Linked DNA regions of Caenorhabditis elegans. The protein of the gene in region 1 binds, or shares a complex with, the protein of each later gene. Each region holds a gene or a part of one and is shown in the gene's direction. Other genes may lie near its edges. The genes, in order: eif-3.H, eif-3.F and eif-3.K.

Region 1 (3,754 bases):
AATTTCCGGCATTTCGGCAAACTGTGCTGTTGCACTTTTTATTGGAAACTTCAGAATTTCAAGTTAAAGACGCGAAATTGTACGCCTCCTATTACGGGAACACAAAATTCTGATGATGCGTATTTCACAACATATTTGACGCGCAAAATATCTCGTAGCGAAAACTACAGTAATTATCTAAATGACTACTGTAGGTCGATTTAAGGGCTCGATTCTCGAAATGAATTAAAATTATTTATTCATCGATAGATATTTCCAAAATCAAGCCCGTAAATCGACACAAGCGCTACAGGAGTAATTTGATGAATTACTGTAGTTTTCGCTACGAGATATTTTGCGGGTCAAATATGTTGTGTAATACGCGTTCTCAGTATTTTGTGTTCCCGTAATATAAAAAAATATGTTCCTACTTCTATTTTGAAAAGTAAGGAAATTCTATGAAAATATCTAGAAAAACGGGAAAACATTTCAGATTGCCGGAATTGAAATTTCCGGCGAATCGGCATTTGCCGAAAAATCAAATTTTCGGAAATTCGCCGAATTTTTCGAAAAAAAATTTGCCGCCCAGCTCTGATATGATTCAGTTGAATATATTACCGTTAATGAAGATGTTCTCTTCCTCTTTAACACAGGAGTTAAGCTATTTCCAATTTCCATTCGTATTGGAACATCAAGGGACTGGGCCTCTAATCGTGGCATTGACCCGGATCTTCGGTATCTTTTAACTGGAGAACCAGGTGTTTCCACATCTTCTTCTTGCCTTCGAATCCTTTCAGGCGTCTGTCTCAACAGCATTGATCCACTACTAGATCGACGCATTGGCGGTGTTACTTGATCTTCCAGGCTTGGAATACTCTCCGGAGCCAGTTTTCGGATCGGTGTCTGGTGGTCCTGTTCTATCCGCAATGGAACCATTGGCTTTTTCTCCATTTTTATGGGTAATGCACTAGTCTTTGTTCGAGTTAGACTAGGTACACCGGCTCTTTTGAGACTCGCTGCTACAGAAACCATCGATGTTGAATGGGATAGGAAGGATGAGGACGATGATGGTGGTGGGATTGTTCTCTGAGACTATTATGAATATTATTAAACAAAAATGCTGGAAACTTGAGGGTTTTACCTCCAAAGAAATTGAAAAAGTCGATTTCAATTGGCTCATTCCCGCCATTCGTTTTAATCCTCCACGTGGACTTGGTGGAACCAATGGTGTCTGAAACAAATTTACAATTATTTTTTAATATGCATTTGGTTATAATATTAAATCTTCAAATGGATTCCAATAAAGCTAGTTTATTTAAGAATTGTGTTTTATTGATTTTTTTTTCATAAATGCGCTTACCTTTATTATTTCATTATTTGTAGGTTTATTAGGGTCGTTGGATGCACTCGATTGCATCTGAAAATATACAATTTCTCTTAAAAAGTTTCAAAAAGCATTTTAAAAAGTAAATCCCAAAAACAAAAGAACGACAAAAATTTGAATTCAAATCAAAAGATCACGCGCGGGTACGGTGTGCAATTGTGTGCATGCACTACAATTGACGCGCAGTTGCACACAACAACGGAAGGAATTAATTTCGTGGAGTGTTTCCTATTTTCAAGATTTTATTGATTATTTTGAGGTTTTTCTCGCCAATTTTCTGAAATTTATATTTTTAATTTTCTTTCGAAAAATTCGTGATGCTTAGATTATTGATTTTTCCTCTTGTGAGATGCATGTTATTGTTTATTGTTCTTTAGAAAATTTGAAAAACTAAATGCTCATCTTTCAGGGTTATCAAAAATGTCGACAGCAGTGACAATTACCGCTCCGAGCGTCAAGCATATCCTTTTGGATTCGCTTGTGGTTATGAAAATTGTGAAGCACGTGGACAGTGAACTTCATGCAGGAATTAGTGAGGTATATTATTTTAATTTAATTTCAAGCTTAACATGTAATTTACAGGTATCTGGAGACGCTTGTGCCGGAGTTCTCACCGGTCTTGTTTTCCTTGAAGATTCTCGCTTGGAAATCACCAATTGCTTCCCAACAGTTCGCAACGAGCCAGTTATGGATGACGATGCTAATGTAAAATTAGCTCATGCTAGTGATTCCAATATATTTTCTATTATAGGCCGCTCAACAATACGAAGAGCAAAAGCAACACGAGATGCTTGACATGCTCCGCAAATTCCGTACAATGAATATCGATTACGAAATCGTTGGATTCTATCAGTCTCATCAATTCGGAGCCGGTTTCTCACACGATCTCGTAGAATCTATGTTCGATTACCAGGCTATGGGCCCAGAAAATGTTGTTCTTATTTATGGTTAGACAGATTAATGAGGATAAATAATTAATTCTAATTGCTTTCAGATCCAATCAAGACTCGCCAAGGACAGCTTTCTCTAAGAGCCTGGCGTCTTTCCACCGCTGCTCTTGATCTCGCTTCAAAGAATGACTGGAGACCAGAATTGTATGGTTTTTGAGTTTAAAAATATATTTGCAAAGACATATCTTTTCAGGGTGAAAGCCGCTGGTTTGACATACCAGAACATGTTCGAGGAGTTGCCAATCATCATCAAATCCTCATATCTCAACAATGTTCTCATGTCTGAGCTTTCACTCGCTAAATCATGCTCTTCTGACAAGTACTCCACGAGACACTTCGATTTGGGATCCAAGAAGTCGCTTGAAAAGTCGGTCCGAGCTATGATGGCTAATGTTGATGAGCTGAACAAGTCAATTCAGTCGTTGACGAAGTACACTATTGACAAGCAAAGACATGATAATATGGTGTTCAGTCTGACGCAGAAAAGAGTAAGAATTTCGAATTTTGAAATTAAAAATATCCTGATTGTATCGCTAAAATTTATATTCCGAAGTGTAACGGCTTTCAAACCTAAAGTCTTGTTTTTTGAAAACCATTTTCCAACATATCGAGGCTCCACTAACTATAAAACCGGATGTGAGGGGTACATTTTCGGTGGAATAAAGGTGCCATTCACGATTTTCGAAAAAAAAATCTCTATCATTAAAAATTTATATTTTTCCAATTTCAGCAACAGGAGAACGAATCACGTGTGGCCCGTGGTGATCCAACAATTCCAATGGATGACATCAAGAGAATCAAGGCTCCACAACTCCAAACAAGAAATGGACTTTTGGATGAGCTTCTCGCCAGTTTTGACACCAACGCTCTCGCTGACTTCTCGAAGACTGTGACCAGCGAAAATATCACGAAAATGTTCATCGCTGAAGCTGTTGCTGAGGAGAAAGTCGCCGGAACAAAAGACAGAACTTTGAGCTCTGTCTCATCGACTCGTTAAGATTCCCAAATATACTCGTGTTTTTGTTTCCTCCCTGTTCCCTTTAATTTACTTTTTCTTTTCTAAAATATTTTTCTCTCGGTGAAAGGAATTTCATATTACATAAAACTAGTGACATAAAATAATGTCTCACTTTCAATATAGGGATATTGTTTTTCATCCAAATTTTTTTGCCGTATGAAATTCCTTTCTGGTATCCTTTTCCACCTTCCCCTATTTCGGATGAATTTTTGTTGTTGACTAATAGTAAGTTAAGATTTTAAAATTTCTATTGGTATTGTTCTTTTTAATTGAGTTTTCAAGTTTTTTCAATCAGTAAATCAAAAAAGTTAACAAAAAATTTATTTGTGAAACAAAAACAAAACAACCTAAACCTAAAATTCACCGGAATCACAATCCAATCAATCACCAAAGTAATCCTCCCTTCTTTGCTCCGTTCTCTTT
Region 2 (3,754 bases), on another chromosome or scaffold:
GCCTGCCCTCAATTTTTGATAGGTTATCTCAACTTTGAACCGGTTTTTTTGTTGTAAATATGATCTAGGTCTCTAATTATTGTGCTTTTTCCCCAATTTTATAATTTTTTAAAATTTAAACGAAGATTTTTCCCTAAACTAACATTTTCATTTGTTTTTTTTTCGTATTATGCTTCGGTTTTTCGATAGAAAATCCGCTTCTGGGTACCTTTTTTTATCCTGCTACCACTTGTTTAATTTATATTTAGATGTCCATCAACACGGCGAACACGCCGGACGGACTTGGTGTCCTACTGTATAATGGAGAAACCATCGTGATTTTTGCACAAGGAGTAGTAATGACACTAGGAACCAGTGAAAATGAGGTAATTTATTGCAGTATTTTTTTCATATCTTTTAAACACCAAAAATCTTCATTAGCACAAATGCTGAAAATTATAATCATATTTTCGAATTTATAGAATTTGGAAGGACGTCGAACGGGAACCATCTACCTCACATCACACAGAATCATTTTCATGCCAGACCCTGGAGATTGGCTGAAATCATTTGAAATTCCATTCAACAGTATGCAAGATGTTAACTTAAACCAGCCGATTTTCGGAGCCAACTACCTATGTGGAATCGCCTCGGCTGTTCAAGGAGGACAAATGCGCGGAGAGGTTAAATGGAGAATGACATTCAACAGAGGGGGATGTATTGAATTCGGGCAATCTCTATTGCAAGCAGTCGAAAGAGCTGTTCGAATGAGACCAGAGAATGCTCCACCTGCATATTCTCCACCAATTGGAGATTTCTACTCTGCACCGCCAGCTTATTATCAGCCGTCGCCGGATCAAGGTAAGATTTTTTGAACATTAAAAATAATCCTGAATTCGAAATTAAAATTACCTAAAAAATGTTAAGCGTAATCATTAGAGATTTGTATGAATTTGAACATTTTTCACTTTTTTGAAAAACGAAAAAAAAAGGAATCCAAGTTTGAAACATTTTTTAAAATTTTTTAAAGATTAATTTTTAAAAAAACGAGTTTTTTCTTTTTTTTTTCGATCACTTTTTGTTTAAGAGAGATTTTTTGCTAAAAATACCAAAAATCTTCAGTTCTGGTCAGACAGTTTTGCAAAAATGAAAACGTGCTCTAATGCAACTTTCTTCCACCTCGTTGCATTTTTGTTTCACAATTTTGTTGATTTTTGAATTGATTTTACCATCTTTCTTTGGATTTAATGGTTTTCTTATCAAATTCGTTAGAAAAATAATATTAAACCGCATTTAACTTTTTTTTTATTTTAAAATTATTCCCCGGTTAATCCGATTAATAATAGATTTCACATTTTCAGGACCAAATGGTTTCAATCCAACCACCGATTCGTTCCCAGATCAGCCGAACCCATCACGAGTTTTCATGAGCTCAGCACCACCACCATATCCAGGAATCGGACCAGAACGCGGCCCACATCCAACTGAAGAACTTCATGTTGCTGGACAATTTGAAGCACCACCAGCTTATGGTTCAGGAGAAACAGCCGATGGATTGAGGCGAAGAAATTAACTTGTAAATTTAACAACAAAAAATGACATTAGAGAAAGTGTTTAGTTCAAAATTATGGGGAAACACGTAGAAAACAAAGCCAATTTACCCATAATTTTTTTCCGCATCGAAAAATGATTCCAAATAAGCTCAGAAGTCTAGTTGCACACAAAAACTATCTAAAATTCCACCATTTATTTTTTGTTTTTTTTTTTAATTTTTGCACGTCTCTCTAAAAATCTCATGTGAATATAAGTAAAAGTTGTGATAAAACTATAAACTTTCGGTAGACTAAGTCTATGCCCTCTCTCTCTTGATGCCCCCTCTCGTTCCCAGGATAAAGTATATATGTATAAGTGGAATTATATCTCTTTCTCTGATTCACAGAACATTTATTTTATTTTCTCTTTTTTTTCGTTGAAAAACACAATTTTTCTTTTAATTGTAAATAAATAAATAATTTAAAATATTTATTAAGAACTTTATATTTTTTATTGATTTTTTCAAAACCATTTTTCAGTTTTCAGCTGAATTTACTATTTTGATTCAGATTATTTCTTTAATTTAGTTTTTTTTTCAATTACAGGGTTCAGAAAAAAGTCAATATGGCTTCGAATTTAACTGTCAATGTCCACCCGGGAGTCTACATGAATGTTGTCGACACTCATATGAGACGTACCAAGAGTTCTGCGAAAAATACAGGACAGGAAAAGTGCATGGGAACACTTATGGGATACTATGAGAAAGGATCGATTCAGGTAAAAATATTTATAATTACAGAAAAAAGAGCCTAATTTTTTGAAAAAACTGAAATTTTGCAAGCTTATTGGTGTCTGGAACTGTATTTAATCTAATTTTTTTAATTTTATGTAAATACCATCGACCGAAAAAGTATCTAAAACAACGAATAAAAACTCAAAATGACCGAATGCTCAAGTGCTCACACAAAAATATGCCAAAATTTTGAAAAAAGTATACTTTCAGCTAAAATCTTCAATTTTGCAAGCTTTCCCGTGTCACAAAGGTCGGAACTTAATAATATTCAATTATTACAATTTATTGCATTTTTGTGGAACTAGAAGCAAGTTCTGGCCGCTGTAACCCTGAAAAGTTTGCAAAATGGATGATTTTCGCTAATAATATTTTTTTTGGAATTCATGATATTTTCTCCAATTTTTATTTTCCAGGTCACAAATTGTTTCGCGATCCCTTTCAATGAGAGCAACGACGATTTGGAAATCGATGATCAATTCAATCAACAAATGATCTCTGCATTAAAGAAAACTTCTCCAAATGAGCAACCAGTTGGATGGTTCCTTACAACATCTGACATTACTTCTTCGTGTCTCATCTATCACGACTACTATGTACGTGTCATCACTGAAGCATCGGCTCGTCGTGAATCTCCACCAATTGTCGTTTTGACAATTGACACGACTTTCTCTGGAGATATGTCAAAGCGTATGCCAGTTCGTGCCTATCTTCGCTCAAAAGCCGGAATTCCTGGAGCTGCTGGACCACACTGTGCTATTTTCAACCCACTTCGTGTCGAATTAGCTGCATTCCCGGGAGAACTGGTTGCTATGCAACTTATCGAAAAAGCTTTGGATTCCAGAAGAAGAGAGGCAACTCTTGAAAGTGGATTGGAGCAATTGGAGACGAGCACAGCTCAGATGATTGAGTGGTTGGAGAGAATGTTGCAGTGAGTTTTAACATTTAAAATTATCTTAATTGGAGAATAAACCGTGATTTTCAGTTACGTGGAAGATGTTAACAAGAACGGTGAGAAGCCAGGAGATGCTCAAATCGGTCGTCAACTCATGGATATTGTCACTGCCTCGTCAAACAATATGCAGCCAGAGAAGCTCGATACTCTTGTCAAGAATACTCTTCGTGTAAGTTTTCAGCCAAAAATATTTAAAAAGCGAGAAATGAAAAGTTGTGTAATATTCGTACGTGATTTTGAAAATTTCGAATATCTTGATCAAAATAGTTTTTTTTAATAACCTCAAAAAGTTTTTTTGTTGGAAATTAGTAAAGTTTATACGTTTTTCAGTTTAGTACAGAATTGTTAGTTTTTTTTTCTCAAAAATTGAGGAAATTAAATCTTTAGCTAAAAACACGAAAAATCTGCAAATTTAGGGAATGCCTATACATTTTCTGTGCCGCGCGAAACCCGGTAGATGTCGGGATATGATATCCGCTACCCTCCCGAATTTGAAA
Region 3 (3,540 bases), on another chromosome or scaffold:
AACATGAACAGAGTTATATATGCTCAAAATCTATGAAGTGCATCCACTTTCTACAATCAAGGCTATAGCTGCTACAGTCTACCGTATCATCGATTTCTGCTCAAATTTAAGAACTCCTGTTGAAAACAACGGCAAGGTGGCCAGCAAGCAAACCGCGAGAGAGTTGGTACATTTCTTGTGAAGGAGACCGTGTACAGATTCCACGTCGCGCTGGCCGAGCCTTTGAGGACTAGTAATACGGTGGAGTGTCGTTAGCGCGCTCTGTTTAGCAAACATTTTTCATTTATTTTTAGGGTTTTCAAGAGAACATTTCAATAGTTTTCATCTGTTTTTTTTTGTATTTTTAACATTAGTTGTTTCAATTTTTTTCAGAAATGAAGGTAGTTCTTCAACGAGTTACTCGAGCTGCAGTCACCGTAGGTGATGAAGTGGTAAGAATATATTAACCGTTATTGTTTAAAATATCATAATCAGGTAGGTTCCATTGGAAGAGGTCTGTGTGTGCTTGTCGGAGTTCATCGAGATGACACGGAAGAGGATATGAAGTATATCATTAGGAAAATTTTGAATCTACGAGTTTTCCCTGCTTCGGAACAAAAACCATGGGATAAATCAGTTATGGATCTCGATTTAGAAGTGCTGTCTGTCAGTCAGTTCACCCTTTACGGTCAGTTTAAAGTGAGTTTTGTCTAATATACTTAAACAAAACTATTCATATTATTTCGTTTTTTAGGGAAATAAACTGGACTTTCATACCGCAATGGCCCCAACAGAAGCTTCAAAATTTTATGCTTCTTTTCTTGAAGCCATGAAAAAAGCTTACAAAGCTGATAAGATTCAGGACGGCAAATTTGCAGCAATGATGAGCGTCGATATTGTAAATGACGGACCTGTTACAGTTACTTTTGATAGTAAAGAAAAATAATAAAAATTTGTTTTACTACTGTTGAATTTTGTACAATTTTGTTCATACAGCGGTTTGATTCCGTCATCATATCTTAATTATTTTCATATATTTATATTCTCTGGCAAAACCTCATATTACGTATACCTTAAATGCGAGTTTTCAATATCTTACGCACATTGGTCTCACCACGCAGACGACGACTTACTGTAACTTTTGTCGATTTATGGATTTTGCATTAAATTTTGATTATATAAATCGTAACAGAAATTTTTCCTTTAATTTGAAAATTATGAGGCAAATGTGGCCCTTAATTTGACACCAGTTACAGTAACCCGATATCAGCGTGGCGAAACCCATACGCTGAGTTTTCCTCTAACAATAGTTTTTTCTTATTTCTAATGTAAATCTCATTAAAAACTGAAAAAAAAACTTGGAAAAACGTCTCCATTTCAGTTTGTCTGATAGCAAATCGAGTTCACTGAAATCTCTTAACCCAAATGGGGAGTGCCTCTAAAATCGAGGAAGATCTGTGCAGGATATGCCTTCAGATTTATTCGATGCGCCTTTAAAACTATTGTTATTTTGATTGAGAAAATTTTTTTTCTTTCTCTTAAATATTTTTCTATCAGTTTTGATGTGTTCTGTAGCTTTTTTTCTAATTAATGGAGAAACTTAGCGTAATTTTAATCGATTTGACAAAAGATGTGCGCAACTTTATGCAAGATTTTTTTCACTTTGCGCAGGACTTCATCGAGTCTGTTCAGGAGTTTCACTCTACTTATTATTTCTCGCAGAGTTTCTTTTCTTCAATTGCTATAATTTGTTTTTAAGATGTCGTTCGAGAAACTGCAAAAGGAATTGCACGAAGCTATCGAAGGAGTAAACCGATACAATCCGGAAAATGTTGCCGACTTGGCTGCCTGCGTTCAAGCTATGGTCAATGAAAACAAGTACGATAAAGATATCGTTTTGACCATTCTCAAGCTCTACCAGCTTAACCCGGAGAAGTAAGTATTCAAGAAGATTAATAAATTTCAAAGAGAATTTTTCACAGGTACGACGAGGCTGTTGTTCGACAAGTTTTGCTCAAGACGTTGATGGTTTTGCCATCGAGTGATTTCGCTCTCGCCAAGTGTCTCATCGACACCAACAGACTCGGATCTCAAGAACTTCGCAGAATCTTTGATCTTGGAGCTGTGCTCGAATCTTGCAACTTCGCTGTTTTCTGGAAATTGGTGAAGGGGGCGTATAAAGTGAGTTTTTACACTTTTCAAAGAATAGATTTATCTAATATTGAAACAAGTGAGCTTTTCAAAATCAAACCTTGTTTTGTGTGCATCTGAAACTCAGTATTTATTTCAATGCTGAATCTATTTATTTTTGGAATATTCTTTAATTTCGGCGTACGACTAATCAATTTTTAAAATTTCAGCCAACAACGAACCCAAATGAACCCTTCAAAGTTCCTGGCGAAGTCCCAAAAATGATCAAGCCAATGGTCGGATTCGAGGATGCTGTCAAGCACTGTCAGTTAAATATTATTTTTATTGCTTGACAATTTCAATACCAAGTTTTCAGATGCTTGTCGCGTCATCAGTGTTACGTTCCAAAAAATCGAAAAGAAAATGTTGAGCCGTCTTCTCGGCGGAGCCAGTGACAAGGAAGTTACCGCACTGGCACAATCATTCGGATGGGAAGCCAAGGAAAATGGAGATGTTTTCTTTGTTGCAAATCACGAAGGAACTATCAAAACAAGAAATATCGACGAGAAAATTCAATTCCCACGTGAGTATTATGCGTATTAGGTTTTTCAAACGATTTAAAAAATGTCCTAATAATCGAAGAACAAATTTAAAATGCCTAGTAAAATCTCAAGTGCATCTATCATTTTCAGATGTCGCCGATCTTCTGACCAGCATTCAACCCCCGTTGACTCTTTAATATCAATTATCACTGTCATTCAAATTATAATACCCTTGTTTCTGTTGTTCGGTTTTCCCCCGTTTCTATTCCCTTTCCTATTTATATTTCCTTTATGTTTTCATGAACTTTATTCAATATTCACTTTTACCCGCATTTTATGCATATAATATTTAACATGGATCTTCTTTTAGCGTCAAGTCTCCGTCGTTGCTCCGATGACTCTCAAACCGTCAGGTGCTCTGACTACCCATTCAGGCCACCCGCCAAAATAGATCTTCCCATTGTAACCAGATCGTGTCAAAGCCCACCAAACCATTGCCGATCGAAGTGACGTGGAACAGTATATAATCTGAAGAATATGATCTAGCGAGAAATATTATCATAATTTCAAAAGATTTTAGCATGTCTTCTCGAAGACGCATGGATTCATCCAGATTGGTCTCGACGCGCAAATAAGTTTATGGTACTTCTTTAATTTTGCATTTTTCAATGAAATTATCTTGTTTACAGGGTGGGCCAAAAGTATGGTAACACGTTTGCAGCTCTATAACTTTACTAGTGAAGAGAGTTATTACATCAATTTGTACAAGTTTTGTTCTCCATAAAATACTGACCAGATGAACGTTTTGAATTTTCAAAATGTTCCCATCCGCATCGCTGCAGGCCTTCAGAACTTTTGAGATCACGACCTTTATGGCACGCAAGTCGGC

What was found.
Region 2: eif-3.H (region 1) and eif-3.F share a complex: the UniProt entries of both Caenorhabditis elegans proteins name them as parts of the eukaryotic translation initiation factor 3 (eIF-3) complex.
Region 3: eif-3.H (region 1) and eif-3.K share a complex: the UniProt entries of both Caenorhabditis elegans proteins name them as parts of the eukaryotic translation initiation factor 3 (eIF-3) complex.

What each region holds. Positions count from the first base shown.
Region 1 is NC_003279.8:4,442,947-4,446,700, forward strand, and holds eif-3.H (Eukaryotic translation initiation factor 3 subunit H), read left to right. Parts: upstream 1-1,772; 5' UTR 1,773-1,783; coding exon 1,784-1,900; intron 1,901-1,945; coding exon 1,946-2,068; intron 2,069-2,114; coding exon 2,115-2,310; intron 2,311-2,357; coding exon 2,358-2,457; intron 2,458-2,506; coding exon 2,507-2,801; intron 2,802-3,043; coding exon 3,044-3,310; 3' UTR 3,311-3,667; downstream 3,668-3,754. Other genes in the region: C41D11.3 (Cysteine/serine-rich nuclear protein N-terminal domain-containing protein), read right to left, coding at 598-1,071, 1,121-1,210, 1,340-1,396; cps-6 (Endonuclease G, mitochondrial), read right to left, coding at 3,716-3,754. UniProt on the Caenorhabditis elegans protein: Component of the eukaryotic translation initiation factor 3 (eIF-3) complex, which is involved in protein synthesis of a specialized repertoire of mRNAs and, together with other initiation factors, stimulates binding of mRNA and methionyl-tRNAi to the 40S ribosome.
Region 2 is NC_003280.10:9,329,526-9,333,279, forward strand, and holds the start of eif-3.F (Eukaryotic translation initiation factor 3 subunit F), read left to right. Parts: upstream 1-2,117; 5' UTR 2,118-2,136; coding exon 2,137-2,289; intron 2,290-2,718; coding exon 2,719-3,233; intron 3,234-3,287; coding exon 3,288-3,426; intron 3,427-3,754. Other genes in the region: wbp-2 (GRAM domain-containing protein), read left to right, coding at 249-365, 462-840, 1,341-1,552. UniProt on the Caenorhabditis elegans protein: Component of the eukaryotic translation initiation factor 3 (eIF-3) complex, which is involved in protein synthesis of a specialized repertoire of mRNAs and, together with other initiation factors, stimulates binding of mRNA and methionyl-tRNAi to the 40S ribosome.
Region 3 is NC_003283.11:12,952,264-12,955,803, forward strand, and holds eif-3.K (Eukaryotic translation initiation factor 3 subunit K), read left to right. Parts: upstream 1-1,738; coding exon 1,739-1,914; intron 1,915-1,961; coding exon 1,962-2,160; intron 2,161-2,339; coding exon 2,340-2,433; intron 2,434-2,485; coding exon 2,486-2,692; intron 2,693-2,801; coding exon 2,802-2,848; 3' UTR 2,849-2,966; downstream 2,967-3,540. Other genes in the region: pqn-68 (D-aminoacyl-tRNA deacylase), read left to right, coding at 375-431, 475-678, 734-925; mpst-7 (Rhodanese domain-containing protein), read right to left, coding at 3,024-3,179. UniProt on the Caenorhabditis elegans protein: Component of the eukaryotic translation initiation factor 3 (eIF-3) complex, which is involved in protein synthesis of a specialized repertoire of mRNAs and, together with other initiation factors, stimulates binding of mRNA and methionyl-tRNAi to the 40S ribosome.